Linked DNA regions of Diceros bicornis minor. The protein of the gene in region 4 binds, or shares a complex with, the protein of the main gene of each other region. Links are inferred from orthologs where the notes say so. Each region holds a gene or a part of one and is shown on either strand. Other genes may lie near its edges. The genes, in order: TRPC5, RGS10, RGS8 and GNAI3.

Region 1 (7,943 bases), on a different chromosome or scaffold from region 4:
CTACTTTCAAAACTCAGATAGGGCTGGCATTGCTAGCCCCCTGTTTGGAATCTCCCTTGTCCTCACTTCTCTTTCAAAACAGTTATGAAGCTAAATGGAAGTGAATATGAATGTCCAGGATGTCTTGTTCAATCAGCCATGTGCTTTTCTGGGAGATACACTTAACTCATCAGCAGCAGCACGTTCTTGTTCATCAGCAAATATTTATATATAACCCATTATATATGAGGCACTGGGTTAGGTACTGATGGGGGAAGCATGGAAACAGTTGGGCATTAGATTATGCCTCACATTTAAGAAACAATCTAGTTACAGAGACCAGACATTTACACAACTAAGACTGACCAATAGTACATAGTAGTGTGTGATTGGTGTCAAGTGAAGGGTAGAGCCAATGGCTACATAATCTCAGAGGTGGGCAAGATCATCATGGAGCAGGGTAGCTGGCTAAGCCTTAGTTAAGATTTTAGTACATTAAATCACTCAGGCACTTAGCAGGGCTCTGGGGAAATGGGGCACAGAACAAATCAGTTTTGATGGGGATAGTGACATGGACTGAGAAGGGAACCTGTTTATACCACTCTGCTTTGCTGTTCATCCAAATTCTGTAGGCCTGTCCTTTCCAGAGAGCTCATCCATCCTCCACTGATCTACCCTGTCTCAGAACTCCCATGCTGAGAATTCTAAAACTTACTCAGACTGCCAGGGAAGCAGTATAGCCAAGTGGTTAAGAGGGTGGGTTTAGGAGTTAGGCTGCCTGAGTTTGAATCCTGGCTCTGACATTTATTGAGATCTTGGACAATTAACCATCCTGTGACTTAATTTTTCTTATTGGTACAATGGGGATGGTAAAAATAGTGTCTACAAAGTTGTTGGGAGGATTAAATGAGGTAAGTCATGTAAGATACTTAGCACAGTGCTAGTTGCATACTATTCATTCATAAAAAAGGTATTTATTGAGTGCCTGTAACATTGCAGGCACTTTCCCAGTGCTAGGATATAGCAGTGAAAACGAGAGACAAGGTCCCTCCTCTCTTGGCTCTGTGTTAAATGCTGATGGGGAATGGGGGGATTCAGGCTCTTTACTCAAGGAACTTTTAATCTAGTGTCTTGCTTTCTGCTCTATGAATTCTAATTCTTAGTCTATGAGTTGTCACTTATCTTATTTTCATTCATTTTTGTTTAACTAGGCACATATTAAAGCTATAAATTCCCTTTAAACCAAGCTTTGGTCATATCCCGTAAGATTTGATATTGAGTGTTTTCATTACCAATATTTTCTAAATACTTCGCAATTTTGGTTTTGATTTGTACTATTTCTACTTTTTAATATACTGCAGTATTCCATGTTTGATGACTCTATATTTTCTTTGTCCCTACTATGTGCCTCTACCATGCTCCAAAGGAAGAGAGACAGTGAAGAGACCTCTCTGACTTGAGGGGTTTAGAAGGGACTAGGGGGAGACAGGACTGGAACAGACTATTAATGAAGGGTATTGAATGCTAGGCTTCATGAGTTGGTTTCTTTTCTAACGAGGAGACATTGTAATCATTGAAAAGGTGGACAGGAATGACAGGATTATTATGCTATTTTGGGAAGAATAAGACAGCATCATTGTTCAGGATGGCTTTAGAGAAAGAAAGAGGCTAGACGCAGGGAGTCCAGTTAGAAGATTTTCATGTCAGTCTAGGACAGTGGTTCTCAAACCTGAGTGTGCATCAGAATCCCCTGGAGGGTGTTAAGACACAGCTTGCTGGGCCCCACCCCCAGAGTTTCTGATTCAGTCAGTCTGTGGTGAGGCCTAAGAATTTGCATTTGCATTTCTAACAAGCTCCCCTGGTGATGTTAATGCTGCTGGTCCAGGAACCACACTTTGAGAGTCACTCATCTAGGAGAGAGACAATGAGAAGCAGAGGCAGAGTTGTGGGAGCTGGGCTAGAGAGGAAAGGAAGCATGTAAGAGAGAGGGGGAAGGAAGAAACCACATGGCTTGGGGATTGGACACAGAGGCAAGGGAGAGGAAGGACTCAAAGATGACTCCACAGCATTAAACCTAGGTGCCTTGGAGGATAGGAAAATCAAAAAGGCAAAAACCTGGACATCTTGGGGTGGAATGCAGTCACATGCTGGGTACTGGAAAAATATGTGAGTCCCTGTATCTATCTGCATCTGCATAGGGCACACTGAAGTTTAAAGGCCTCTCCTTCTTCAGGATAGAGGGTGGCGAGAAGGAGGAAGCCCAGGTCTGTGTTTGGTCTCTCCTTTTCTAGAATGTAACCTTTGAGTAGAGGAAGAAAATGAAGATAGAGAGCAGGGGGTAGGGAGGGTAGAACGAACTTGGATATTCTGGAAACAGAGAGCATACTTTTGGGTTGTTAAGTATTGAATGTATATGGGAAAATACTAATAAGGAAAAGGCAAATGAGTAAAACTCAGTGTAGGCCATGCAGGGTAGCTCTAGGACATCACCTGAGATTACTGATGCTATTTTTGAAAGCAGAGGGTTGCCATGATAGGGCTTCTCAACTCTAGCCTACCTAACCTTCCCTAGTTTCCAGGCTTGTGACCCTAGTGCCCTGTTGTCCCTGGTTATTTCCCAGCCTGTAGGGACTTCTCTTACCTGCTTCTCTCCACTGGGCCGCCTGTAGCTGAGCAGAAGCTCCACAGCACCCACTACTTCCTTGCGGATGGCGTAGAGCAATGCATCGCCTACATATACGCTATGGTTCAGCAGTAGCTCCATGATCTCCAAGTTCTCGTTCTCAATGGCAATGAGCAGGGCGCTCCGGCCCAATGGATCCATGCAGTTGATGTTGACATTGTAGTAGATCTCCGCCTCTTGTAGGGCCTGCTTCACAGTGGCGTAGTCCCCCTTCTCCACAGCGTTGAGGAAGGCCTTCTCCTCTGCAGAGAGCTCCGTCTCAGCCCTCACGATTTGCAAGGGGATGCGGTCTCTGTATGGTGAGTAGTTGACCTTTTTGTAGTACAGTTGGGCCATGGTTCATAGCAATTTAGAAACCTGAGTGAGGAGAGAGAGGGAGGCCAAAGATATTCTTAGATATCTGAAGGTCTCAAGTGGCCACTTACGGAGGCAGCCTGGCTAAGGGGTTGGAAAATCCTAAACTGTTTTAGTGCCATAATCTTTCTCCTCTTGCAAAGGGGTATAGCAGAAAAATCCCAGGCTTTTGGATCAGAAAGACCTGGGCTCAAATCCTGGCTTTGCCAGCTCTGTGACCTTGGATAAGCTACTCAAGCCCACTGTGCTTCAGTTTATTAAGTTTATCAATATTAATACCGTTAGCAGGAGTTATCACTTAGTGATTGCTTACTGTGTACTAGGCCCTGTGCTGAAGAATAATTTCTACATCATAAAGCTATTGTGAGAGTTAAGTGAAGGAATACATTATCAAAGCAACTGGCACAGGGTAAACCTCCTGAGACATGGCACCAGTTAGTTCCTTCCTTCCCTTCTGCTACCTGAAAATACTTGTGATATACTTCTGATGGGTGATGCACAGTTGAAGTTCATCTTGGGCCAATTTCCTTTGGGCCTTGGGCCTGTGGGCCTGTGCTAATTTTCAGGATTACATTTGCAGCTTTCCCAGATGCAGATCCTGGACTGAAATCCTGTTTTAGTGCTAACTGAAGCCCTGCTTCTTTCTGCTGCTCACTGGGGAAGGAGTACTGGCTCCAATAGGCCAAAGTCATGCACCCCTCTGCCCACTCATGATTTTTTCCTCCATCATTCCAAACCAAGGAGCTGACAGATCTGAGAATCTGTTTGATTCAATTCTGAGAAGTGTATGGTCTGTTTTATATGCACCACATCTAAAGCCAGATTTTAATAGCATTGATTTTAAAGTAAAACCTATTATTGAGTTTCTAAAATGTGTTTAATTTTCTCTGGGAGACCAAGAAAAAAAATACAGTCTTTGCCTTCGATTGCACAGAATGAATCACAGTATAGAGCTCTTGCATCGTAGTTTACAGATCAAATGCATGCACATTCCTCACTGACTCCTTGAACTAACCCTGTTAGTTAGGGGAGAAGATGAGGCTCAGACTCATTAGGTGATTAACCCCCTTTCCCTCCAGGATGCTCTGGAAGCTGAGTTTGGATGGACTCTTTTAAGTGTCTTTCATTACTCAACTGTTTTGCCAGCAAAAGGAAATGGAAATGTGATAAAGGGCCTCTTGTCTCATCTCCTGGATGTAAGAGAAGATAGAGACATGAAGCTTCCACAAACATTTGCCTCACTCCTCCAGGTAATTACATCCCTGCTTTGGAAGTGGGAGAAGCATATATTATACCAAGTGGCATTAGCAATTCATGTGCTTGTGATCTTCTGGAAGTTAGTATTTGAAGGTGAGTGTTGCCTCTTGCCCTGAACAGGCCCAAATGACAAATTTCTCTCTGCACCCAAATCTCAGGAGACCAGGGTACTGTTTTGCTGTCTTGAGAAGCACTGATATTTTCCTGTGCTACTTTCAAGTAACTCAGCGTGGCTAAAGGAAAAGGGCACTTAGAACAAGCATTTGTCACTAAACAGCAAATGACTTTAATAATACTAATTGTAGACTGCCTCCCTGCCTCCCCATCTCCATTATAAACAAAAAGGGAAGAGGAAGAAGAGAGAGTGTAATCTCTTGAAGAGACACTCAACAACCCAATTCACGTTATATCTATTTAATAAAGACGAACACAGCAGAAGCCTTCAGTGTGCCTAGCACTATGCTAGTCACTTTTAGAGGATATGAAAGAACAGACCCCCGCCTTCATCGTCTCTCACCTGGACCATTCCACAGCCTCACAGTTAATCATCCTTACTCCATTCTCTCCCCCTTCAGATCGTCTCCCACAGAACCCCCAAGTTATCCTGTGAAACACAAATCTGATCACATTTCAATCCTCCTTGGTTAGTTTCCTGCTGCTCTGGTGATGAAATCAACCCTCGTTTCTGAGGTCTACTAGGTCTTGGCTTTTGTTTACCTCTCCAACCTCATCTTAAGCCACGCTCTCCATCATCCACTATTCTTTAGCCCATGGAGCTTCTTTTGATTTTCTGACATGCAAAACTTTTCTCCACCTCAAGACCTTTGATTATGGCCTGGAACACTCTTCTCCAGCTCTTTTCATCTTTCAAGCCTCAACAAAATGTCACCTCTTCAGAGAAGTTCCTTCATATTCTTCTCTCCACTGTACTCTTTTCTCTTCCTTCTTAATGTTTATCACAATTTGTAGTTACATATTTCTTCATCTTACTGGGTAATTGGCTGTTTTGTCCAATTCTCTTTAAAGCTCAAGTGCAGGCATTGCATCTGTTCTGTTTTTCTAGCACCTGCACCTAGCCCAGTTCCTGACACACCCTGGATGCTTGATATGTATTTGCTGAATGCATGAGTAAACCTTCCATGATATTTTCTCGTCTCTCTCCATCCCACCCTAAGTTCTAGTCTAGTCTAGCTCTAGTCACACTAAGTTAAGTCTATCCATGTTCTCTGAGTTGCCTTTGTACATGGCTTCATCCCATTCTTTCCACTTAATAAACTCCTTCTCAGGAGTTTGCTTGTAGGTCCCCTTCTCTGTTAAGCCTTCCCCCAATGCTGTCAGAAAGTTAGACAATCTCCCTCTGAGTTCTCCACTGGTACTTGGATCACATTTTTTCAATGTCACCCAACTGCATATTTGTCTTCCATTAGGGTAGAAGTACCTTGATTCCTGCCTTCCTAGAACTCACACAGGGTCTAGAACACGACAGGTGCTCAACAAATAGATGTTTAATGAGCAAATATAATCTAGCTGAGGAGGGTTGGCACAGTCGTGGAACGAAGTGCTAAATTATGTGGTACTGATTTGATGCTTTGGGATTTCAGAAAGAGCTCAGTGAGGGCTGGAGGTCTCAGAGAAGGTTTCACGGAGGAGGTAGCTCTTAAGCCAGTCCTTGGAAGATGAATTAAATGTGAAAATGTGAGAGTAGTCCAGGCACTACTGAGTGCAAGAACAAAAGTAGTGAGATTGATCATGGCCTAGTTGGGAGACAGTGGTGGGGGGTATATTTTTCAGGCTATAATAGGATACAAAGATTAGAGGTGAGCTAAAGTTCCAAGGCAAGAGCTTATAACCTCAGTTTCCTCATAAAAAAAATGATCTTAAACATTTGCTGCCCATTTGCCATTTAAGAGGCTACCATGGAAGAAAAGGCTAGATGTCTTTTCAGATGGTATCACTGTTGATGCTGGGCTGAGCATTATTGCTACAGGAAGATCTGTGCCCACTTTAATAAGGCACAGCTGTGAGGGAAACTGAAGACAAATATATCACAGGGAAAGGTGAGAACGAAGGTAACTAACTCAATTGGTGCCCTATTATGTGCAAGGCACTATGCCAGGAGCTGATGCAATAAAATAATTATTATAGTTTTGAATGCTTGATATGTCCTAGGCACTGTGCCAGGTACTGGGGCAGCACGCTTACTACTGCTGCTTCTAATAGTAATAATAATGAAGGCAACAAGCAGTACCATTCACTGAACTCGCACTATGTGCCAGATGCGAGGGTTATAGTAGTGAAAGAGAGAGGACAGTAAGATCATGGTAATTTGAGACTTGAAGTAAGTATAATTGGATGATATATAGTTGATTCAGAGTCTAGTTTTACTTTTTATCTCTTGCATTTGAAATGAATCTGGTCTGTTGCATTTCCAGTGGGCTGTGTTATGAGAAGCCTCGTTGTATTCCCCTGTAGAGAAAAATATCTCCTCCAGAGGTTCGCCTGAGATTGTACTATTAGAGAGTCACTCCTTTGCTTTAAGGCACTGCATCTCTAATACTACCCCTGGAAGGAATAATAAATCACATGGCTAACAGCTAGTAACACCTTAATGTAGATTCCTTCATTGGAAAGTTGCTGTGGCCTTGGGTGTAAAGAGATGTGTGTCTAGAGGGACAGGGAAGATGTAATGGAGGGGAAAGGAGAGGCCTCATGTCCAGCTTTGGAAATCTCTTTTATGTATCCATGCACACCTCTACATTACACAGTGAGAGTGATGTAAAAGGGGTTCCCTGCATTGTCTGTCTAGATGTAGGCTTATGTAGATATCTAATGACTTGCCTAGTGCCCTTCCCTCTTCCATTCCCCACAGCTTGTGCCACTTGACTCGCACAGCTTTAGCCTCAGCCTTGCTGCAGGCTCTAGGACCAATCCTTTCTCCATATGCTTGCTGTTAGTCCTACTCTGCCATTATTCTGGGAATAAGTAACTAATGATGGAGTTTCTGGCCTTTCTTGAGGATGTATTATTGGGAAGGCTCCTTTCCATCACCCTTTACCTTTAAACTTGGCAGATTGCACTCACCTGCCATTAACCTAAGCCAAGAGATGAGGCTGGCTTTCCCATCATTATACACTGGCCTTGAGGTGTATTCTTAACTGAACAAAACAAAACCAGCCAGCACTTCATGCCATTCTATGAGTGAACCCCACTCCCAATGTAGTCCCCCAAGCATGAAAGATTAGGAATGGTCTAACAGACTGCCTCAGGGGGCTTATCATGTTCTCTCTTTTCTGTGCTGCTAGCCAGAGGAGTTTGTCTAATGGTATCTGTGACATGTGTGGGCTTAAACGATGCAATTTAAAGAGCTAAATCAATGGGCTGGGCAGAAGGTCAGGGCACAAAGTGGTCTTGCCAAATCCCAGCCCAGCTCACTGCCCAGTTCAGGACTTTGTCTGTGAGGAGGAAAGCCTAGTTTTCCACCTAACTAAAAAAAAAATAGTGCCTTTGGAGGAACATGGTATCTGTGCATGGCTTGCACTCTGTGCCATGAGGATTGAGCTTGAATGGTGAAACCTTTGTGACCTCTCACCCGTATCCATGCTTATCTGTCCACTTGTCTATCTCTTGAGAGCCCTTTAAGGCAAGTAGACTTAATCTCATAAACTTGTAC
Region 2 (7,882 bases), on a different chromosome or scaffold from region 4:
GGCTGAGGTCTGCCTGGCAGGGCAGGGATTCCCCCAGTGGGTCGCCCCTCGGTCTGGTCGCAGGTGGTGGAGGGCTGTGGCTGTGGCTCTGCTTTCAAGTGAGCAGCATCCCACTTACCATCAACAGTGCAAGTTGCTGTCAGGGGCAGGACGGGGGGCAGAATCCGTCGAGGGTTCCTCAGAATTCGGTGTCATAAGGATCAACTGGGGCATTGTTGAAAACGCAGCCTACTCTCCCTCCCCACCTGGGTCCCCAAGACTGAATCAGTGGGTCTGAGGTGTGGCCTGGAAAGCTGCATTTTATCAAGCTCCTCCCCCCTGCCATGTGGTTTGTGAACACACTTTGAGAAACCTCAGAAAGGAAAATAAGGAAATTGTACTTAGAACCGTGGAATTAGGGGTTAGGAACTCCAAACCCTCCGCTTACAGACACTGTCTCCTGTAAGATGTTGCTTAGAAGCAGGAAAGGTCTAGAAAGAAAGGTGCTAGGAGGCAGGACTGTAGCCAGGTCCAAATCAGAGGTCCTGCAATGGCAGACCCAGCTTATCCAATTTAGAGAGCCTCTTTAAGAAAACTAATTCAAAATTACCACACACAAAAAAAATTCAGTAGAGGGTCCCGTGGATTACTTGGCTGGCTTCCCAGGGCCTCCGCCTAGGGGCCACATACCCCTTTCTCACTGGGCTTCTTTTCCTGCTGCCGAGTGGTGATGACCAAATGGCAGGGGATCATTTGTCCTGTCCCACCAGAGGGGCAGACTTTAAACCTAAAAATTCTAAAGAAATCGGGCTCTTGGAGGCCAGGCATCCAATACCAATCGACAATGTTTATCTACCCACCTTTCTATCAGCAACTTCCCCACGTTTCAGCAGGCTTAAAAATTGCTGCCCTGGAAGAGGTGCACTCCCTAAAACTGGCCCAGCAACCTGTCTACATGCAACAACACCCCAAAACATGTATATCCCATAATCCAGTTGTTCTATTTGGAAGACTTCAACCTCAAAATGATCCAAAGCAATGAATAACTAATGCAGAGAAGTTCACAGCAGCTCTGTTTATAATAGGAAAAGGGGGAAAAGATAACAGCTAACTATTATTACTCATTTATTATGTGCCAGGCATTGTACTAGGGACTTCAGATGTTTTAGCGTACTTAATCCCACAACTCTACGAAACCCACGTTACAAATGGGAAAACACATGCAAAGGTGTGGTGGTAAACGGGCTCTCCTAAGAGGGAAAACCCTTGATTTTAAGCATTTGCTGATTTCCATGGTATAAATATTCACCAACAGTCAATTTCAAATGATCTATGATTTAGCAACCAGCTCCCAAATTTCCCAATAATTTAGCACTTGGCTCAGAGGTCAAGTAACTTGCCCAAAGTCGCTGAATGACAGTCAGGGTGGGAACCAGGAGTTTAACTCCAGAGTCCTGGGTCTGACCACCGCTCCATGGGCCTACGAATATCCAACAACAGGGAATGGCTACAATGCACACCCACAGGGGAATCCTTTGACCCACAGGCGACACGGCAAGGTTTACATGCCCACTAACATCAATACAAGTTCTTTACGATAACCCTATGAGATCTTACTTTATTACAGTTGAAACCCTACTTTATTAGAGTTGTCTTAAATATCAAATGTGATGATTTGCATAATTTGATGGATGGGAAAAACAGCGCCACTGAAGTGCTTAAAGAGGGGTAGCTATTTTATTCCCATTTTGCTGATCCTTAACTGCACACAGAGAGGTTCCACAGCCGGTAAGTGGTGGAGGCAGGATTCAGACCCAGCGAGTCTGGTTCCAGTCCATCCTCTTAACCACAAAGTCCCTCATAAAATATACTAGGTGAGAAAAGGACACAGACCAGCATGTACAGACTTTTAGTACTACGCAGGAGTGACTCCTGGAGTGGGAGGCGGCACAAATGCCTCTGGACTCCAGAGTCAGGCCAACTCGGGTTTCAAAGATTCTCCACCACCTCTCAAGTGTGACTTGCAGCAAGTTACCCAACAGCTCCTGGCTTCAGGTCCCTCCTCTGGAAAGTGACGATAACAATACCCATCTCACAGGGTTGTCATAGGAGTGAAGAGAGAATTCACAGAACCTGGTGAACACAGACCCGGGCCCACATTAAGCACTCAAAGGGGCGTAGCTATTATTATGAACAAAAAGGGTAAGATGGTTGGAATCAAGTGCATGATTTCTTCTTCACCGTGGGTTCTTTGTCCTATCAAATTGCTCCAAATTGTGGCTCAGGCTGGTCCACTGTGACAGCCAAGCCGAATCTTTTGTAATGTCTGCGGGCGCCTTCCCTGGTGTGAACCACTTCTCCACCCTGGTGTTCACCCTCCTTCGCGGCCCCACACTTCGGCTCCGCCGCGCAGAACTGAAAGCGCCCGGCACCCCAGGCCGGGCTGCAGTCGGGTGCGCGGGGTCCAGCCGTGCCTCCTCCGGGCGCCGCGCGGGCATCATTCGCACCAGCGCCCGCAGCGGAGGCAGAGAACTCCAGAAGCCGGGGACGCCGCGCGACGTTCTGCTTTCGGAATCTAGAGCACATACTACCTCCAAAGTTTGGGGCTGTTTTGGATCTCCTTTTTCTCCCAGATCATCACTAAAAAGAAAACTACTGTTGCTTCCCCTTTCGGCCAAACTTCCTCCCCGGGGTGCCTCTCCGGGCTCTGCGCTCCCGCCGCGGCTGGGACCAAAGGGACGCTGGACCAGGCGGAGAGAAGTGGCGCGGTCAGCTGGGGCTCCCGTCCGGGCGGCATCGCCAAGCCGCGCCCGAGCCCAGGAGGGAGGGAAAGATGCCCCCGGTGGGCAGCGCCCGCCTGGGCTGCTCCTCGCGGTCCCTCGGGGAGCCCCGACACCCAGCCCACGGGCCCCGGGAGCCGCTTACCTGACGGCGGCCGCTTCCTGCTCAGCCGGCTCACCGCGCGGTTAAACATCGCCGCGGGCGCCCGGGGGTGGAAGGAGGAGCACCCGGGCGGTGCAGCGGCTGAGCTGGAGGAAGGCGAGGAGGAGGAGGCCCAGGAGGAGGAACCGGCTCAGCACCGCCCCGGCGCGCCCGGCCCCCGCCCCGCCGCGCTCCTCCCCGCCAGGCGCCGCGTGGCGCGCTCGGTGCGCCCTGCCTGCTCGCCCACGCGCCCCGGCGTGGGCCCCACGGTCCCCCCCTGGGGTACCCGGGCGGGCTGGGGCAGACCCGGTGACTCCCAAACGCCAGGACCCGGCCCGGCGCCCTGGAGGGAGCGCATTCGCCCGGAGGGAGCCCACGCCGCCCGGGATTTAGGAACCCTGCTCCCGGCGGTTCGCGCGTCCCGGGGCCCCCTCGCCGCTCTGCGCGGCTCGCCCAAGAAGCTGCCCTGGGCCCCACCCCGCCCAGCTCCCGACTCCAGCGCCCATCCCAGTCTCCCGCCCTCTCCCTGCAACCCCGAAAAACGGGCAGGGCGCCCCGCGCTTCATGGCTCCACGCGCCTTCGCGGGGGCGGCAGGCGGGAGTCACCTCAGGCCTCGCGGTTCTGCAAAACCTGGGCGCGGCCCATGGCCTTCGTCTCCGCGCGCCAGGCCCTGACCGCCCCGCGACTCCGTGGGCGCTGGGCCTCCCCATGGCCGCGATTGCCAGTGGGGCGTCGCCGGGGCCCCGGCCGCGGTGCCCGCGCGCGGAGCAGGCCGAGCCGCCGCGGGTGGGCGCCCTCCCCCGGGCCGCGCTGCGCGGGCGCCGGAACTTCGGCGCCTTCTCCCCTTGGCCTTGAGGCTCCAGAGGCGGACCTCGGGGGAATTCTGCAGGAACCTCTTGGGTTCCAGCGCGGAGGGATGCCTCTGCCCAGCACACGGGTTGGTCGAGGACACTTCTCTAACTTTGGGGACACGTGGCGCACGTTCCGGCAGGGCCTTTGCGCGCAACGCTCGGAATCACTCAGGTCAGCTCTGCGCTCTTGTTCTGATTTCACCTCTCCCACCGCCAGTCACCTGCTCAGCGCCGCGCGCTCCTCTCTAACCTGTTACCTCATTTCTTCTGCAAAACAGCTCAAGAGGGGTGTCATTAGCCCCATATTCTTGAGCATTTGGTTTGCAAGGAATTGTCTTTCTGGCGAGTCTTTTTCTCCTTGTGTATCTGGCTTTGTCTCTAAATTGGCCTTTATTTTTAGCTGTACTAATTGCTATTTACCGTTCCCCAGTTGTCGGCCCCCTTTCACCCATCCTTTTGCAGTATTTTCACTAGTTGGCACTTTTTTTATGTCTTCTCTTCTGAGCTTCCCGTTCTGCTAATTTTTCCTCCCTCCCTCTACTCACCCCCTCGGTCCCAGTTCCACCCCGTCGCCGGCCTTCTATGGTTGCTTCTGGTTTCTCTCTCTACTTTTCCCCTCCGAGTATTTCTAAGCGCTCTCCCCCTCTGCTACCGGGAGCGGCTTTTCTGGCTCGTGAAGGTTACAGGGGTTTTCAGCTGCAATTCGAGGAGACCACGGTGACCAGGAACCGCTTTTTTAAAAAGCTCAATTTTAAAAACCTCTCCCGTGGTTGGCCTCCTCCGGGCGTGGGCTCCCCGCAAGCTTCCACTCCGTTGTAAAGGGGCAGGGCTGCGATACTTCAGCTACAGGCAGCAAGAGCAGAACTTTTAAACTCTGGATGCAAGTGAGGTCGCTGCATTCTCATAACAATAACAAGGGAATTTGTGCAACACACCTCCCCAGAAAACTTCTCCGGAAACCAAATTACAAGTAATCTAACACAGGAAATAAGGAGACGCGCACAGTGGGTAAAGTTGGGCGTAGCTAAAGGTTACTCCAGTTGCCGGGTCCACCCCCGCAGTGTCCTGAAAAACCCGGGAGTGGCCTAGGACATGCTTATGAATCCCTCTTGAGCTACGAAGGCAGCCAGGCCGTTCTGAAATGAAGGAAAACAGAACAGCTTCAAATCACTTTTACTGTCCTGTTGGCATATCAGATGCTGAGTACAAAAATAAAGACCCATGGTTAAAGTTTAATGTACACAGTTTCAAATTTTTGTTTCAGGAAATTTTTGTTTCCAGACGTTACAAGACCGTCTTCAGAGTTCCTAAAGCTTGCCAAAAGAAAACACACAGACACACACACACACTTAAAGTTCTGCCTGTGGTTTGCAGATGGGCTAAACGTGCTTGCCATCCAAATAGCATCATTCACTTTCTGCAGCTCATCTCAAGCCTTCACTAACAATGGTAGCCCATCTGGGCAAGAAGAGGACAAGCAGTTTGGCCCCTTCCTTACCTCTGGTAGTCTCACCTTTCATTAACAACCTTCATTCAGACCAGACGAGGAACAAGAGCCTAGGATGTCTTCTGGTAGAGCAGAATTTCAGAGTGATCGTTGACTTTAGAGTTCAGTATTTTTTATTCTATTCAGAAACTTTAAAAATTTAATAAGCTGTGAATATATTATAGTTTCTTATAATAAAATGTATTATGTAAAATATATTTTAGAGACTCTTATAAAGAATATTCTAGGCTATTTGAGGCAGGTGAGGTATATAGTAAAATAAGTAAATAAATAAGTGCCTGACTTGGACTCAAGAGACCTGGCAATCCTAGCCATATAGCAGACCAGCTGTGTGTCCTTAAACACAGCCTCACAGGATTGGACAAGGAAAGGATGACACCTCCATTCTAAGGGTGTGTGCTAGCTAGCAATAAACAAGGGAGTGCCCGGCACAGTGCCAGCACATGTAGGCACACAAAAATGTACTGGAATCTAATTACTCTTACTCCCCTTACACTGCTGTTTCAATAAACTTTAGCCTATACACCTTGAAAAGCCACGTTTTTAAAAGAAATTATATGAAGTTGGCAGGGTTAGTAACAGTGTTGCAACTGACAGTGAAGGGAGGAAAGTCAATTGTTACAACTTGTCTGAAAGGCAAGAGAGAAGATGTGGTAAGATGCATATTTGGCAACATGTATAAGAGCCTTCAAAATGTTTATATCTATTGGACCAGTGAATAATTCTACAACTGGTAATTTATGCCAAAGAAATAATAAGAGATGCACAGATTTATGTGTAAAGTTGAATATCATAACACTTGTTTTATCAGTGCTATTTATAGTAGCTATAAATGCTCATTAGTGGAATGACTAAATTACAGTATATTCCTATGATAGAACATTTAACAGTTGTAAGAACTGTGTGAAGAATATTTGATGATGAAGGAACATGCTTATGATGAAATTTTCATTTTAAAAATCAGGACATAAATATAGAGAAAATGTCCAATGGGAGAGGGGAGGAAATATAGTAGATTCATGTATAGAAAGCTTATGGGAAACTATACCAAAATGTTACCAGTATTTATCTCTAGATGATGGGACAATGGGTAATTTTAAACTTTTATTATTATATTTTCCTGTTTTGCAAAATTTCTGCAGTGTATATGCTGTTAAATTGGGGGGAAATCAGTAGTTGGAAACTGGTCAAAATCTCTACTGGGTTTAATCCACAAATATTTAAGCCCACGTTTTTACAACATTTAGTTTTGCTTTCTTTAAACTCTTAATTTCCCATGGAAGCAGCAAGCAGACACCAACTGCTTTTCCCATCTTTGATCTCCCTTGCATTTCAAGTCACACATTCACGGCATATCACAGCTGGAGGGATCCTGGGAGATCAGCATATTGTGCTGCAGATCAGGAAAATGAGGCCCAGATAGCTTTAGCTGGGATGTGACACTAGGTTTCCTGAGTGGTAGGCAGGTGTTCTTCCTGGTATAGCCCTCTCTATCTTGTGCTGTGCTGCATCCATGAAGATGAACCTAAAAAGGAAGAAATTTATGTACATTTAAGATTCTAATTGGGAACAGGGCAGATTAATTTTATCAGCAAGCAGTCATACCTGTATTTCTCCAATCTCAAAACCAAAATAAAACTCCTCTATTGCCCTATTTCACTACAGCACTTTTCAGCAAAGTGCCTCAAATGAGTTGTCTGTACTCACTGTCTTCCATTCATCTCCATCCACTCTCCTAAACCCTCTCCGGTTTGACTTTCAACTCCACCACCCCACTAACCTGCTCTTGTAAGGTCACAATGACTTCCACCTTGGAAAATCTACGGTTAGTTCCATCTCCATCTTACTTGACCCACTGTCAGCATCTGACCCTGTCGATCCCTCCCTCCCTCTTGAACCACTTTCTTTCTTTGACTTCCAGAACACCACGCTCTCCTAGTTTTTCTTCTGCTACATTTGCTGTTCACACTGACACCTTTCCTTCCTCTTTTGGTGAGGAAGATTGGCCCTGAGCTAACATCTGTTGCCAATCTTCCTCTATTTTGTATATGGGTCGCTGCCACAGCATGGCTTGATGAGCAGTCTGTAGGTCCGTGCCTGGGATCCGAACCCATGGACCCCAGGCCACTGAAGCAGAGTGCATGAACTTAACTACTATGCCACTGGACTGGCCCCTCTCATTCCTTTTAAAGGTGGGCACTGTACTCTTAGTCTTTGGATCTCTTTTCTCTTGCACACTTACTCTCTTGACCATCTCATCAAGTCTCATGGCTTTTAATACCATTTTTTTAAAAAAAATATTTATTTATTTATTTTGTGAGGAAGATCAGCCCTGAGCTAACATCCATGCTAATCCTCCTCTTTTTACTGAGGAAGACTGGCTCTGAGCTAACATCTATTGCCAATCCTCCTCTTTTTTTTCCCCAAAGCCCCAGTAGATAGTTGTACGTCATAGTTGCACATCCTTCTAGTTGCTGTATGTGGGACGCGGCCTCAGCATGGCCGGAGAAGCGGAGTGTCGGTGCGCGCCCGGATCCGAACCCCGGGCCGCCAGTAGCGGAGCGCGCGCATGTAACCACTAAGCCATGGGGCCGGCCCAAGACTTTATTTTTTAGAGCAGTT
Region 3 (7,869 bases), about 42 Mb from region 4:
CAGGTTCTATAGCCCCACAGTAGCACCCCATGGTGGGTACCCCAGGAATGCCATGTGGCCACACTACTCACTTTAGAGCACGGTTGGGTTTGTCGGGAAGAATAGCTGTGAAATCACTACAGGAGTCTGACTTGTGTGACAGGCATCCCAGTCGAGTCCTCATCCCTTTGTTCCTGCAACAAGCACAGGGGCAGAAGGATGGGGAATGTCGTGATCACAGCTGTCAGCTCTATAATGGGCCCCTGGAGCTGCTGCTGCCAGAGCCAGCACTGCTTACCCCCCGTCCTTCTCCAGGTGGCCCCTGAAGATTTCATGAACAAGAGGAGAAACACCTAGAAGATCAAGGGATACACTCATTCCCTATCTTGACTCCCGGAATAGTAATAGGTACCCTACCCCTAGAGGCTTAATGCTTTTTAAAGCTGACATGGCAAGTTGATGGTAAGTCATTGAAGGTCGTTAGCTTGGAAGAATTTCTAAATTAGGATTCTCTGTAGGGAAAGGAAATACAGTGATGACAAAATAACAATCTACATTTTGTTCTCCCACTAGGAGGGCAAAGCAGCAGCAGCTCCTGATTGCAAAGCCCCAGAAGTAGGACCCACGCAGAGAGTAGGGGGTTTCCTGCATAAGACAGGGGTGCATTTCACAGAGTCTCAGAGCACAAAGTACGGGGCTTCAAGGCAGGTCAGTTCTGCCTCGGGTTCTCCCCACTCATCCTACAAACCTGGGGATATACCTGAATGGCTACAGACCAGCAAGGACCGATGACTGCAGGTGAGGAGAAGAGCAAGGTACAATCAGCAATTAAGAACCAGCGCCCCTTTTGGCAGTTCTTCTAGTCGCTTAACTAAGCCCTCGTATCCCTCTTTATATTTTGGCTTATCTCAATCAGCATGTTTAAAATTTTAACATGCATGTTTAAATTTCTCATATTTTTTTATTTTCCTAAGGACCAGACACTTGAATCTGTTGCGGAGGATCCAGTGAGAAATTATGCTAATGTCTATCTCTGACTCCCAACATTAGCCCTTTTTTACCTTTAATCAGAGACTGGCAAACTATAGCCTTGCAAGGTGCCTATTTGTGTAAATAAAGTTCAATTGGAACACAACACTCCCCATTTGTTTACATATTGTCCAAAGCTTCTTTCGAGCACAAGGGCAGAAGTTGGGTGGTTGCAACACAGACTGTATGGCCCATAAAGTTGAAAATGTTTACTCTCTGGCCTTTGACAGAAGTCTACTGACCCCTGACCTTCAACCATGACAACTCCTAGCATGGAGGGCAAAGGTAAGTGGGAGGGGGTTGTTATAATCAGATCAGGACTTAAGAGTGACTTATAAAAGGGGACTGCCACGTGCACACTGGTAACAATTTGGCATGGAAATAGTCGTAGAAGATGTCATTCTCCCTGTTGAAAGGAAGTCCTTCCAGCCTGGCTTTTCTTTCCTCTTTTTCACAAATCCCAGGCCTGGGCAGAGGCGTTAGAGGTCATCCAATTCAATCTCATTCTTTTACTTCAAATGGGTTTTCATCCCTGACCCTGGTAATTGTTCACAGAAATCTTATCTAACAGATGTCTACTGGGATGGTATTATATTTGGCGAGGCTAGACAGCATTTGTATTCCACAGTCCATCTCTGAGGAGTCTGCTAAGGCTGGAACACCCAAGTTCCCAGAAATATCACCTCTCCTGCAGAAAATTGGGCCTGCATGCCCTGTGCTCCCCACTCATCTCCGCCAGGCCCACTGTGAATCAGTTTTGTGGCATTTCAAAACATTGGCTTCAGCCGTTCTCTCCCCTGCGACAGTGAGCATCTTATGTCCACTCACTCTTACAAATCACAGGCTGCTCCGACACCAGGCCATGCAAACAACTGATTAAAGGCCCTTGAGTCATCACATTCCGTGAACCCAAGTAAAGGTCTTGCTAAGGCTGCACCACAGGCCAAAACCTAACTTTCAGTGAGTCAGTTCGATCATCGGTGCCTCAGGATCGTCAATCATAGAATAGTCAGGTTGATACCCCCAAAGAGCAATAAAGAGGATTTCAAAAAATGGCAACTCCAGGGGCCGCCCGGTGGCGCAGCGGTTAAGTGCGCGCGCTCCCCTGCGGCGGCCCGGGGTTCGCCGGTTCGGATCCCGAGCACGCACCGACGCACCACTTTTCAAGCCATGCTGTGGCAGTGTCCCATATAAAGTAGAGGAAGATGGGCATGGATGTTAGCCCAGGGCCAGTCTTCCTCAGCAAAAAAAGAGGAGGATTGGCAGGTGTTAGCTCAGGGCTGATCTTCCTCACACAAAAAAAAAAAAAAATGGCATACTCCACCCAAGCCATCTAACAAAGTTTGAGCAGGGGCCAGTGTAAAAGGTGCTGCTTTTTACCAAGACAACAGTGATTCTCCCAAATCTTAGCTAAATTCTTCCACAAAATAATCTTTGGGACAAAATGGTTTTGATTTGCCATCTTGTCTAGCCGTGACCTGAGCTATAACCTTTTAGTTAGGTCTGAAATAATGGGAGCAGAAGCAAGAGACAAAGGTTAAGTTTACAAAGAAAAAATACCTAGGCTCGCCCTCATTTCTTCGCTGTCCAGTAACTCATAGAGCTCCCTAAATGGCTCCATACAAGCTCATGCACTGTCCCACCCCGTAAGTCCCACCAGTCAATGGGAGGGCTTGGCGCTAAGGCAGGTCCTGCTTGCAAGGCCACAATTTTGCAAGATGCACCCAGGGAAGGCCAGTGCAGTCCACACAGGAGGCCTGGGGGATGGATGCAAGCGGACCACCCACCGGATTAGACGGCTTGGGCAGGATCAAACAGCAGGGGAGGTGGGAGGATGGAGAAGGAGGAAAGGCGCAGGCACAAGAAGACAGGTGAGCATCAGTTACCTGCGTGGCATCAGTAAAGCGGCCATACAGGCACCCGCTTACGGTTAACCCTCTGGCTGGTTTGCAGGGACGTCAGGGCGGGATAAGACTGCGGGGCACAGGGATTTACCCTTTCACGTCCTCTCACCTAAAATCAAAGAATCTGCTGTAAGAGGGGGCCACCCTCTCTTATCTAATGGGGCTACAAATCCTCTCAGACGGCTTTCCACCAAGTGAATACCTCCCCACACGCACCCCATTCCCCACAGACATCTGCTGGTCCTGAGCAAGGGGGACCAACCAAGGATGGACAAGAACAACTTGTCAGGTGGCTTCACATGGCTGCCTTTTGGTCAGGAGTTTCTATTTCCCAACCACTGGCCATCGACAGTATAGTGGGACATGTGCCCCAGGGGAGGAGGGCGTGGGCCTGGCTAGCCAAAAATTACTGCTCTCTTTGTCTTACTCCAGTGGGGCCCAAGTGACCAGCCAGCGGGGGGTGGGGGAGGGGTCAGCACTTGCTCCAGAATCATCTGATTGGCTGCTGTTCTGATTCTCACCTCCCTCCAAGGGAACCTGTCCTGGAGGTGGGAGTTCGAGGAGCCTTGGGAGGGCGTGAGCGGGAGGAAGGTTGGAGCAACTCCAAGGGAGCTTGTCAGGCACTGTCACCATACAGGCTTGCTCCTTTGCAGGGATGACAGGCACAGGCTGAATAAATGAATGTGCAAGTCACTCTTTCTTGCCCATATGGAGGCTGCCCGGCCTTCCTCAGCCTGCGGACTGGCCCATTCCTGACCGGAAGAAGGGAGGACACCAGGAGAGGGATGCTGAGGTTTAGGGCTGATTGACTCATCATCTCTCTCTCCTGAGGGTCCCATTCTCAGTGCTTCAAATGCTTTGTTCTCACAGAAGACCACCAATAGGAAGAAACATGTGAAGAGAGCAGCCTATACATAAAGGGTTCCCCTGGGGAACCCTGACACCGAACATAGAATCCATTTTAACAGAAACCTAATTTAGATGGATAAGGCCTCGATGTGGTCTACGCTGGTTAAATCATTTTGATATTACCTGGAACATTTCACAAATACTTTTTTAAATACCTGCTCTAATAATACCACAATTAATAAAATAAAAAGATGGCTTTGTTAAAACCAAAAAAAAATCCGTTAGACTTTATGTAAAGGCTCATTCCCAGGAGATGGAGCGTGGATCGGGCTCCCTGACAGCTGGGACACTTCTGTAATCTTTGTCTTAACTGTGCATACACCTGCTTGCCCAGAAGTCAGGAAATCAAAGCTCTTTACAGCTGTAAGGGTCTCTAGAAATCATTATTTTGGGCACCTAAGCCTCATTTTCTCTCTCTTGTGGGATATGCCCCAGAGGAGGGGGAGTCCGTGCCAGGGACCTTCATTACCCTGGAGCTGAGCAGAACCAGGGACTACTCTCCACATACACAGCAGGCAAGGTCATCTGGGGCGGTTATCACCCGGCCTCCTGTCACTGCCTTGTCGCTCTTCCCGTTCCACTGCTAGCCCACACCAGCAAGCTGGAGCGGCTTAGATGCCTGCCTCTCTCTCTTCCAAATCCAGCGCTGCCCACCGTGGCTTCCGGGACCCTCCACCGCCCCTTCAATTAGCTCAGCTTTGGAGTTGATTAAATAAGAACCTGCAGGCTTCTCTGACCCACCTTCCTCATTCATCCCAGCACCTCAGGGCTCTCATCCCACATGGCCCTTGACTTCTGGGGGACAGTGTTTGGGGTTACCCAGAGCCCAGGAAGGCTGAGGGTATGATTGTACCCACATTACACGTGCCCTGATAGGTGGACATCAAGTTACAGGTGACTCTGGGGCAGACAGGATGGGACAGAATGGAAAGAGAGGATACTCAAGGAAAAAACAAAGGTTAAAAGCAAAGAGCAAAGATGTATAAAGAGGGGAAGAGAAACTAAGAGCCTCAGCAGGGAGAAAGCAATCAATATGCAAGGAGAGGCAGGTTAATTAAATATGGATAATGCAATCAGCCCACACGGGCACCCCGGAGGGGAAAGAGACAAGCAAGAGCAATACTCACTGTCTTTGACCAGTCCTCATGGCCTGCGGGTCTTTGCCAACCAGATGGTCAGAGAGGCTGCGGGTTAAGGAGCTCTGGGGAAAGAGTAGATCTTTCTCTTAGCAGTCAAATCCTTGGCGGGTGAAGGGCATGTGTGCATGGACACACATGGACACACGCGCATACACACACATATATACACGCATGCATGCACAACACACCTCCCGCCACTTGAGCCGGGCAGCAAGCAGCCCCACTGAAAGCTCTGCTCTCTGATTGTCACATCCAGTAAATGCTGAAGCAGCCTACACCCAACGGGTGGCGGCTGAGCTCCGGGACACCGTCTGCACACCCATCCTCATTGGCAGGATGCAGGAGGTGCCCCTGAGCAGAGCTCGCCTGGCACTCCTCCCGCACCTTCCTCCCTGGCCTCACTAACCTGCTTCTATGCTCGTCTGGCTGCGGCTCAGGGAGAAGTCTCCACAGCCCGAAGCTGCCTCCCTCTGCACCCAGAGGCTGTGCAGGGGGCAGCAAAGCTGTAGGTATTAACTCTTTCCGGCCACCAATGACCTGAAAATCAAATGTCCAGGGGGCCTCTTCTAATGAGTTCTGCTGCTGGCCGAAGGCTGCTTGCTGTTCAGGGAGCAGGGAGCATAAAGATCTTGCCCCAGACAGCTGCTGACAGCAGGAGCCAAGCCGAATCAAATCTCCTAATGAGCCAGGAGGAGGGGGGCTGTCTTGCTGGGTGTGATGTGATGTGATAAATGCAGAGAGCAAGAACGCTATGGGGCAGGTCACACATCTAAATTCCACCCCCTTGCTCCCGATTTCTATTGTGCTGCGCTGCCAAGCTAAACCACACAGCCCTGAAATTACCCCCTTCTGCCACATCTCAGCTGTCCCTCTTACTCTCCAGAGGCATTTCTCCCCCAGCCCATCTCCACGCCCACCCCCCAGCACCAACCACACCACTCCTCACTTCTTAATGAGAAATTTCCACCTCCTCTGCCTCCCCAAACATGTATATTTCTAACTCTGCGCTCCTGGTTTTTCCTGCAGTGGAAATTCACCTCTCTTCATCATCCATCACCTAGCAACTTCCCCCTACTCGCATTTGTTACGGAATGAGACTTTTCCCTTTGTTCTGCCCAATCTGCACATTATCCCTATTTTTCTGTCTTCTACATTTTTTCTTCCAAGCCGCCTTACTCACATGGATCTTCACACTGCCTGTTTCAGTTCCAGAAGGAGGATTCTCTTCCTGCTTGCCCTAGTGCAGCGGTTCTCCGAGTGTGGTCCCTGGACCAGCAGCGGCAGCATCACCTGGAAATGTGTTAGAAATGCAAATTCTCAGGCCCCACCCCCAGACCTACAGAATCAGAAACTCTGGGGTTGGGGCCCAGCTTTCCAGGTGATTCTGATGCATGCTAAAGTTTGCAAACCACTGCCCTGGGATAAAGCTTGCCTTCTCCTCAATCCGCTCTAGGTCTCTAAGGCTGAGTCTCCTGCTCCCACTCAGGAACAAGTTCCAAAAGCACCTGACCTTTGCTGCAAGTCATTTCTGAAACCCAGAAGGCAGCACTTGCTAGAGGCAGCAGAAATCTCTGCGGAAAGTGATGGCTTCATAATAAAGATGTTAGATTCCATTTGGTTAACCTTCTACAATGTAGACAGCATTTTCGCATATTGTCACTCAACAACCCCACGCCACAGTCAGAGAGAGTATTATTATCCTCGTGTTACAGATGAGAAAACCAAGGCTAAAAAAGGTGACATGCTTTTTTCAAAGTGACACAACACGTAAGAGGAAGCTCAAGGACCAGAACTCGTTTTCTTATGACTCTTACAGCAGAGCTTTTTCTACTACGTCATGCCGGGACCCAGTCTTCCTGGCAGACCTATTGGTGCATAACCCGTATTCTCACGGTGAAGTGATTCTGCCGCAACCACACGTTGCCTGATGACAGGGATGACATAAAAATTCTGATGCTTCCTCCACAGTGACTCACTGTCTCTCTCTGAAATGTCCACAGTTCCCCTCTGTTAGGTAAAGGGAACTTAGTGTTATAAAATGAGATGCAAAAGAAACATATTCTATCCCTCATAATCCCTGTCTTGAAACCTGTTGCTAGCTGGGTTTAGAATTTCAGCATAAAGAGAATCCTTCATGTCTGGACATTTTCCTGGTACCATAAAAAACAGGTACACATATGAACTGGTGAAAAAAAGCCCGTCGATAAGCACTTCCCTAATCCAAGATAAGTTTGTACCATAAGGTAGATCCATCCCTGGATTCCATGCACATAGCTAATGTTTAATGAGCTCTGAGAAATGTGCCAGACACTATGATAAACGTTGCACTTGCCTTATCTCATTTAACTCTCACAGCAAACTCACTATGTCGACATCTTTACTATCCCCATTTTACAGATGGAAAAACAAAACAGGTCCTTTATAAGTAGCAGAGCTGGTGTCTGATACTAAACTTCGTGCTTCCAGTCTCTGCTCTGCCCCTCGCTTTAACGCAAAGGTATGTCATCAGTTGACTCCTCTGCTGGTGCTAAAATGGTGGGATAGAGGCCTCCTCCATGTCTCATGCTGCCCAGTCTGGCATCCAGGATTTAAAGGCACCGAGAAGAAAGGTCAGGGCTGCGGATGGGCCCACATCTCAAGTGCAAGCTGACCAATATTAATCAGGCTTCAGAATCTTCAGTCAGCCTTTAGAGAAACAATATAATCACAGAAAGTCAATAAGCCAACCCACTGTTTAAGGAAAGACATAATAATTAAGTTTAAAGGAAAGAATAGGAATGTAAAGAGAGAGGGACAAGAATGTGTGGACACGCATCTAGCATGAGTAAAAAGAGAAAATTAAAACTAGTCCAAACTTTTTTTACCAAACACGCCTAACCGCCAAGGAATAACCCCGCAGCACTCTAGTT
Region 4 (7,095 bases):
CTTTATATGGGACGCCACCACAGCATGGCTTGACACGTGGTAGGTTGGTCCACGCCTGGGATCCGAACCTGTGAACCCCAGGCCCCAGAAGCTGTGTGCCCGCACTTAACCACTACGCCACCGGGCTGGCCCCAGAATCTGTAACGTTCATTTTGATTTAATAATAACAATAATAGTTAATATTCATTGAGCTAATACTACGTGCCAGGCTGTGTTCTACTTTATTATCATATTTAATCCTCACAGCAATCCTATGAAAGTACCTTTATTTTCTCCATTTTGAAGATGAGGAAACCGAGGCAGAGAAAAACTGAGTAAATAACTTTCCCAAGGTTATAGCTGATAAATGAGAATTAGAATGTAAAACAGTCTGACTTCAGAACCCATATGGTTAATCATTATGCCATACTACATCCCTGCAAGGAAGAAAATACAGTAAGATTTAATGAACACCTATTACGTGCCAGGAGAGACAAGGGTAAGTAAACAGTTCTCAACTTAGACTAAGTTTGATAGTTTCAGTGATGAAGTAAAAATGACTTACATATACATCAAAAGGGGTATTCTACAGCAAAAAAAAAATTACTTACATACTGTGATGTATGCATTTTGCTTATAGAAAAAGGAAGATAATTTTAATTTCATATGTGCATTATGATATGGTTCAAGCAAGAGCATCTGTCTCTGCAACCTATTTGAAGCTGTTGATTTAACTTGCTCAAGAACATAAAAAAATCTTTCTTAAAACAACGAAATTGATAACAATTAAAAGCAAATGCTTTAGTACTTGGATTTTTACTTACTGCTTTTGAAGTTCCCCAGGTCATCATGTGTTTAATTTTGTTTTTAATTAAATGCACTACTTAAAAAGTCCTGAACAAAGATTTTTCTAGACATTTGGACAAGTTCTGCTTGTATAGGTTCTGCCAGCCAAATCCCGCCATTTGGAAGAAAGCCTCACAGTTTACAACTATATTACAATAGGCTAATGTCCTGAGGGGATCTCTGACAGTCAATGTAAATCAAAACACTCACAAAGGATGAAAACATACCTTCAATTTCATAACCAATCTCAATATAGACAATGCTAATGCCTTGAGTACATATTATGGTTTACATCAAACATCTGAAAGCCCCCAAAGAGCAACATCCAACATTAGCCGGCTCATGCTGGTTGACAGTCAATATTTAAGGAGCATCTACTACGTGCCAGGGACCATGCTCATCCACAAATGATACCTGCTACATAGAGAGTGGCAATCTAGAACTACAATTTAAATTCATGCATTCTGAAAGATCATGTATTCAAACTGGAGCCCAAGCTCCAATACATAACCTTCCCCCTATATCCAAAAAGCTGTTACCAGGGTTTCTGCAATCTACAAACCACCAAACATGTTATCATGAAGAGACTAGCACAGGCACCCCACACATCCTGGAGTACAAGATAAGTCTTGGGTTATGGTGGCACATTCTGTCCTCTGGAGTTTTACACCATGAAAATCTAGCACTTCTCCTAAAGTGACTTCTTTTTCTCAAAAGTCAATTGTTCTAAAAAGTAAAGTTCTATTGCTTGCAGAAACCATTTACTCCTACTTATTCTCCTCTAAAGATCCCTAGAAAATACTCATAGTAAAGAAATGTGGCTTGATTTATTTATTGGTAAGTGGATGCCTAGGTACTTTACATGATTAACTGAGCCTCCAGAAGCCAGTCTCACAAAAATTTTAAAACTAATCATGCTGAGTAAAATGCATCTGACTGTACGTAAAAGCTACTTAAAACAAATGTCAGGTAAAAAAAATAGTAATTCCTAAAGCCAATGTTTTTAGTTTGAAGAGACCAAAAAAGATAAAACAGTTCACCAGAAGTCTGTCACAGCTTTTAAAGTAAATATGTCCAATTCCATAATTTATCCTAAGATAACTCCATTTCCACAGCACATCATCCCTAGCAACTATTCAGCAACTCCCAATATGTAATCTATTGTCCACTACGCCTTTTGCCACAAACCTCAAACAAGCCAGTTCTCAAATTTCCTCAACTCACACCATCTCCTCCTTTATAAAAACAAGGGAAGGCATTACAAAACTTTAAGAGAACAAAAATTACAGAAACAGCTGGAAAAGTACAGACAGCCTCTGCACCCAAGCTCTTTTCCTTTATACATGAGAACGTGTCATTATCTCAACCACACACTTGCATGTTCCTGGAAAATCCAGGGTTCCTCCAGCTCACCCAGAGTTCAAAATGCCCACTCTCTAATAAATGACAGGGTCCTTATGTGACCACTCTGTCTCAGCCCCTCTCTCTATTTACATTAATCATCCAAGCCTCCCAGCTCTATCCTGTCATAAAGTAGCACTACGCTCCAAACTCAAAAGCCATTATACAAGCCCAACACACTACCCCGTCCTGCTTGCTACCAACGCACTCCAACCCCTTGCAAAACCGTCCCTAATATCGGCTTTTCCTTTATGAGCTTTTCCCATATTCCTAACACAGTCTCAACGTCCTACTGCCCCACGCTGCCAAGCTCTCTTCGGTAAACACAATTTCAGCACAGAGTCACACCCTCTCTCCAGCCTAATTCCTACAACCCCAAAACCCCACCTCCTCATGACGCCCTCCGGGGCCTCAGCCACCTACCCAACACCCCGCCCCATGCCCGTCACGCCCTCCAGATCCCTGCGGGGTCCTTTCCGCCAGCCCGGCCTGACCCCGCTCTGGGCTCCCAAGTGCCTAGGCCCTCGCGATGACCCCGCCAGCCCCGCCCCCAGCCCCTCACCGAGTAGCAGGAGCTTCACTTCTTTGGCCGCTTTCTCCCCGTCCTCCCGCAAGTTGCGGTCGATCATCTTGCTCCGCTCCACCGCCGCCTTGTCTTCGGCGCTCAACGTGCAGCCCATGGCGGCGGCGGGAGAGGGGACCGGGCCCGGACTCACTCACACCCCGCAGAAACCGCAGCTCGGCTGGCTAACACAGAGCCTACTACTGGGCGGCGGCCCTCTCCGTCAGCTTTCGGAGCTCCCGGAGGAACCGGATATCCGGTGTTTACGACACTTCCGGAAACGCCCCTCGGCCGTTACTGCTTGAACCTCTCTAGGTGGGGTAGAGGAGGCGCGAGAGGAAGCGGAAGTACGGGGAGAGGGACGGTGAGGTTCAGCCGCAGTGCCGTGGGTAGCCAGGTCATGTCGAGCTCGACCTTAGTCCCCTTTCACCTTTTCGGCTGCTGTATTTGAATAACTGTAGAAAAACCAGGGACTGCCTTCTCCAGTTCATGACCCCCTCCCGAGGTCGTGAGTGGCGAGGTCGTGAGTGGGAGGAATTCCCAAATAATAGCCCACAGCCCGCGCGGGAATTTCTGCTGGGAATTTCTCACTGGCGAGAAAGCCCCTTTGATCTCTAACGTTAGAGACCCGTGGCCCCTGCCCAAGTGTAGGACAGTTCCTCTGCCGGGGCCATTTCAGGCAGATCTCTGGGATGGGAACAAACTCCAAAGCCTGGGCCCCGGCCACGCTTCGCATCTGAGATCTGTAAGACCATGCCTAGGACTTCAGATCCCTTTCTGCCTTCTCTAGCCCACTGCCTCCTGCTCTCAAAATGGACCCTGGTCCTCGGGCCGTTTCATACGAATTTCTGTGGGCTTTAGAGGTGCCTAGCTACTGTGTTGGCAAAGGGCCACTTGAAATCGCTAGCGTACTCGATTATCTGAAAGGGAAGCGTGTAGTTCCTCCATAAAGTTTCCATGCTGCCTTTCTCCGATATAAGGCAGTTTGGGCGCTTACAGATTGTACTGCGTTAGGGTCTTAGGATTCGTACCAAGGTTAGTCAACCCCTGACCCACACCTCAAAACAAACCAGTGCATCCTGTGAATCTCCTAATAAAATTTCCTTTTGTGATAGCCAAAAAGGGAAGTTCTAGTAGAATTTGCCTCTCAGCTGTAGCATCACCTGAAAATTAATAAATCCCCCATAAAAGCCCCAGACTGATAACCTTTTTCACTTATAATCCTGGGTACTACCATGAAGGTGGCCCTAAATTACCTTGACTGCCACATAGCCCCACAAATACTCTCACTATACGTTCTAGGGAGGGTACCTCTTGTAGCCCCCAAAACCTTTCCCTGTGATTAAAAGTTGTTTCCCCAGGCTGGCCCCATGGCGTAGCGGTTAAGTGCGCACGCTCAGCTGCTGGCCGCCCAGGTTTGCATCCCTGGTGTGCACCAATGCACTGCTTGTCAGGCCATGTTGTGGCAGCATCCCATATAAAGTGGAGGAAGATAGGCACAGATGTTAGCCCAGGGCCAGTCTTCCTCAGCAAAAAGAGGAGGATTGGCATGGGTGTTAGCTCAGGGCTGATCTTCCTCACACACACAAAAAAATTATTTCCCTAATAGAATCTAAACCTTAGAATGTAAAGTCGCAACAGAAAGGTGTGTAAGGTGATGATTCATTAATTAGATTTCTTGAGAGCCACCTTAAACAGCCTCATCCACCATAATTTATCAATGCCCTTTCTTCAAAGTTTGAAAAGTCTACTCATTCCCAAACCTGTTAGAATAGAAGGGACTTCTTTCCCATAATCAATACTTGTGGGGGAAAAAGGGCAAGAGGAAAGGGAAGAAAAACCAATATTTATTGAGTTCCTATTTGCCAGGTATGGCTAGATGCTTCCACGTGTCATCTCTTAATCCTCACAACAACCCTGTGAGGTAGGTAATGTTATCCCCATTTTTACAGATGAGGAAATAGGCTCAGAGAAATTAAGCATCTTTCCCAAGTTCACACAGTGAGTAAGTGGATCTGACTCCAAATTCACCCCTTTTCTACCATTCCACTTTAAGATGTTACCTGGGGAGACCTGACAACAGAAGGTTTTCATCTAGGATTGAAAGTTACCCCAGCACCACTAGGGTGCAGCAAAAAGTGATGGAACGGTTGTCTCAACCTGTTGATTCTTCAGTGGATGAGAGAGGTCAAAATTTGTCCAGGAACAGCTTTCACAGCTAAGGATTACATCTTGAACTTTACCAAGCAATCCTGGTAACTAGAAAACTCCTGGAAGGTGGTCATGACAGAAATTGTTGGGAAAGTTCTCAGCATAATAAAAAAGAAATTTTTATTTCCTTCATGATCCACTCAGGGAAAAAGAAAGGGCAAATGAACCAGCGTATGTCAAATTCTGTAATAAACTCCAGTGAGATCACAGTGTCAGGAAATTTCAGCCTGAATTAGAGATATCCTTGCACTTAAAATTTTCTTCTTTGATGTATGTGAAGGAAGGGTTGGAGGGCAAAGTCAAAGGAAAAGGCAAAATAAATTAACAAAATGGCTGCCAGGCAATGTTTAGAGCCCCCACCCCACGAACCGCACCTTTTCTGTTTCCGCTGGACTCACACTGCCACCTGCTGGCAATGCTTAGGCCGTACTAGCTGATCAATGATGTTTGGAAGAAGAGTTCTCCCCCTGTTCAGGAATGAGATTCCTCTCTTATGAGTGTATCTTAAAAGGGAGGAGAGAGTATGTTTTTCAATCACAAGAGACTCTCCTCAGTGTATACTATCCAAGGGATTTCCTCAATGTAATAGGCCTTAGACTAGAGTAAGTCTAGGAGTAGGAAGACAGACACCTGGAAATTTTCCTAGATCTGAAGGGGGAAAGCTATTTGCCCAAGTTTCATTTAATAAATTGTTTTTCTTCAACTAGAGTTTCATTTACAACCCTCATACTTTTCACAATCTGCAGGAAGCCTCCATGTACGTATCTTGCTGCAATGGACTGAACTCTCAGAAGTGAGAACCAAGAGCATATTCTCCAATATATTTCTCAAATACATTCTGTACTGCTTTACCAGATGTAAAAATACAAGGTACCTGATCAAATTAGACTATGAACTCCTTGAAGGCAGTGACTCTACATCCTCTGTGTGAGTGCCAGAGAATATTGGGTATTCAACTATTATGCACTGAATTGAACTGAAGGAGTCAATGTTGATATCAGTATAACTTTTTATAATAAAAATTATTTATTGGCTGTTCAAAGGGAATCTATCCCACTCCCACCAGCACATCTTCCCCTTAGATGCTCGATGAGCCAGGAATTTGTTTAAATACAGACCACACCACCCTCTGGTCCTACCTTAACCCTTTAATGTCACCTGATTCAATTGAGGGAAGTGGGATGGACAGGTAGTCCCAGATGGATGTCCTGTCTAGTTTGCAATTATTCCCCTTCCCTTGAAAATACCACCACCGATACCAACCAACACAGTTCCTACAGTCTCAATCAGTGAACAGCTGAGCCCAACTCCTGTGCCCTGTCTCCAACCCAGGGCTGCAGATAGGAGAGAGATTAAGTCTTTGTCACTGAAGCTAATTTTGAGAGCGATGAATGGGAGTAGGGAGGCATTTAATGAACCATGGAAACCCCACCTTTCCCATTCCCAACCTTAGTCTCTTGTACCCGATTGTCCAGGGGGCTGGAGGTGGGTCACTGCCATGAGGAGAGAGATCAGGAAGGCCAGTCCTAGGGAGAAAAAAAAAAAGATTTATAGTATTACTGGTCAGGGTGATTGCCTGGCCTGTCTGTATCCAACCACCTTAGCAATTTAAATGATATCAGTATAACTTTTTATAATAAAAAAAGTTATCTTCAGCCCCCAATCTTTCCACTTCTTCATCCTAAAAGACAAGGAGAAAGAGCCATCCAGTCTTAGTCTTGCTTCTGCTGAGATCAAGCTTGAGGGCGGAAGACAGAGAGCTGTAGTCAACTTTCCTGTCTTCTACTCGATGCACACTGATTGCTATTTCCTCCTGCTTCTGGTCAAACTCAGGAGAGGAATATACCTAGTCCTCTCACTTTAAGGAAACCTCAGGTCTAAAACTAAAAAAAAGATCTATTAACTCAAATGGAAACACTTGGCTATAATTTAGTTCTTGTTAAACCTAGCAAGGAAATGAGAAGACATGGGTCATTTTCTTACCTTGCTTGGGTGCAATGATTTCCCTGGACAATTATACTGAAAAAGGAAATATCCTAAAGGGCCCCGGAATAACTCCAAACCTGGCCTGCTGCCCTGTATCCTCCAGCTCCTAC

The links.
Region 1: the proteins of GNAI3 (region 4) and TRPC5 are in contact, whole or in part, in a cryo-EM structure (PDB 8GVX), measured with the Homo sapiens proteins. The link is inferred for Diceros bicornis minor from reciprocal best matches to the Homo sapiens genes GNAI3 and TRPC5. Residues at the interface, in NP_006487.1 of Homo sapiens: Arg205, Arg208, Lys209, Trp211, Ile212, His213, Phe215, Glu216, Glu245, Leu249, Ser252, Asn256, Lys257, Trp258, Arg312; in NP_036603.1 of Homo sapiens: Thr27, Glu32, Glu33, Glu56, Ile57, Tyr58, Tyr59, Asn60, Lys125, Pro128, Thr129, Leu130, Met131.
Region 2: the proteins of GNAI3 (region 4) and RGS10 are in contact, whole or in part, in a crystal structure (PDB 2IHB), measured with the Homo sapiens proteins. The link is inferred for Diceros bicornis minor from reciprocal best matches to the Homo sapiens genes GNAI3 and RGS10. Residues at the interface, in NP_006487.1 of Homo sapiens: Val71, Val72, Ser75, Glu115, Val179, Lys180, Thr181, Thr182, Gly183, Ile184, Val185, Gln204, Ser206, Glu207, Lys209, Lys210, His213, Ala235, Glu236; in NP_001005339.1 of Homo sapiens: Glu62, Phe63, Ser64, Glu66, Asn67, Ala102, Ser103, Ser104, Gln105, Val106, Asn107, Val108, Glu109, Gly110, Leu137, Lys139, Tyr140, Asp141, Ser142, Arg145.
Region 3: the proteins of GNAI3 (region 4) and RGS8 are in contact, whole or in part, in a crystal structure (PDB 2ODE), measured with the Homo sapiens proteins. The link is inferred for Diceros bicornis minor from reciprocal best matches to the Homo sapiens genes GNAI3 and RGS8. Residues at the interface, in NP_006487.1 of Homo sapiens: Glu65, Gln68, Ser75, Val179, Lys180, Thr181, Thr182, Gly183, Ile184, Val185, Gln204, Ser206, Glu207, Lys209, Lys210, His213, Ala235, Glu236, Asp237, Glu238; in NP_001095920.1 of Homo sapiens: Thr76, Glu77, Phe78, Ser79, Glu81, Asn82, Ala117, Pro118, Glu120, Val121, Asn122, Ile123, Asp124, Phe125, Gln126, Arg128, Leu153, Lys156, Asp157, Ser158, Arg161, Arg164.

What each region holds. Positions count from the first base shown.
Region 1 is NC_080781.1:103,842,878-103,850,820, forward strand, and holds the start of TRPC5 (short transient receptor potential channel 5), read right to left. Parts: upstream 3,013-7,943; 5' UTR 2,999-3,012; coding exon 2,621-2,998; intron 1-2,620. UniProt on the Homo sapiens protein: Forms a receptor-activated non-selective calcium permeant cation channel. Mediates calcium-dependent phosphatidylserine externalization and apoptosis in neurons via its association with PLSCR1.
Region 2 is NC_080745.1:82,339,681-82,347,562, forward strand, and holds the start of RGS10 (regulator of G-protein signaling 10), read right to left. Parts: upstream 3,014-7,882; 5' UTR 2,954-3,013; coding exon 2,905-2,953; intron 1-2,904. UniProt on the Homo sapiens protein: Regulates G protein-coupled receptor signaling cascades, including signaling downstream of the muscarinic acetylcholine receptor CHRM2.
Region 3 is NC_080743.1:84,725,602-84,733,470, reverse strand, and holds the start of RGS8 (regulator of G-protein signaling 8), read right to left. Parts: upstream 3,014-7,869; 5' UTR 2,921-3,013; coding exon 2,895-2,920; intron 174-2,894; coding exon 72-173; intron 1-71. UniProt on the Homo sapiens protein: Regulates G protein-coupled receptor signaling cascades, including signaling via muscarinic acetylcholine receptor CHRM2 and dopamine receptor DRD2.
Region 4 is NC_080743.1:42,585,583-42,592,677, reverse strand, and holds the start of GNAI3 (guanine nucleotide-binding protein G(i) subunit alpha-3), read right to left. Parts: upstream 3,009-7,095; 5' UTR 2,907-3,008; coding exon 2,789-2,906; intron 1-2,788. UniProt on the Homo sapiens protein: Heterotrimeric guanine nucleotide-binding proteins (G proteins) function as transducers downstream of G protein-coupled receptors (GPCRs) in numerous signaling cascades.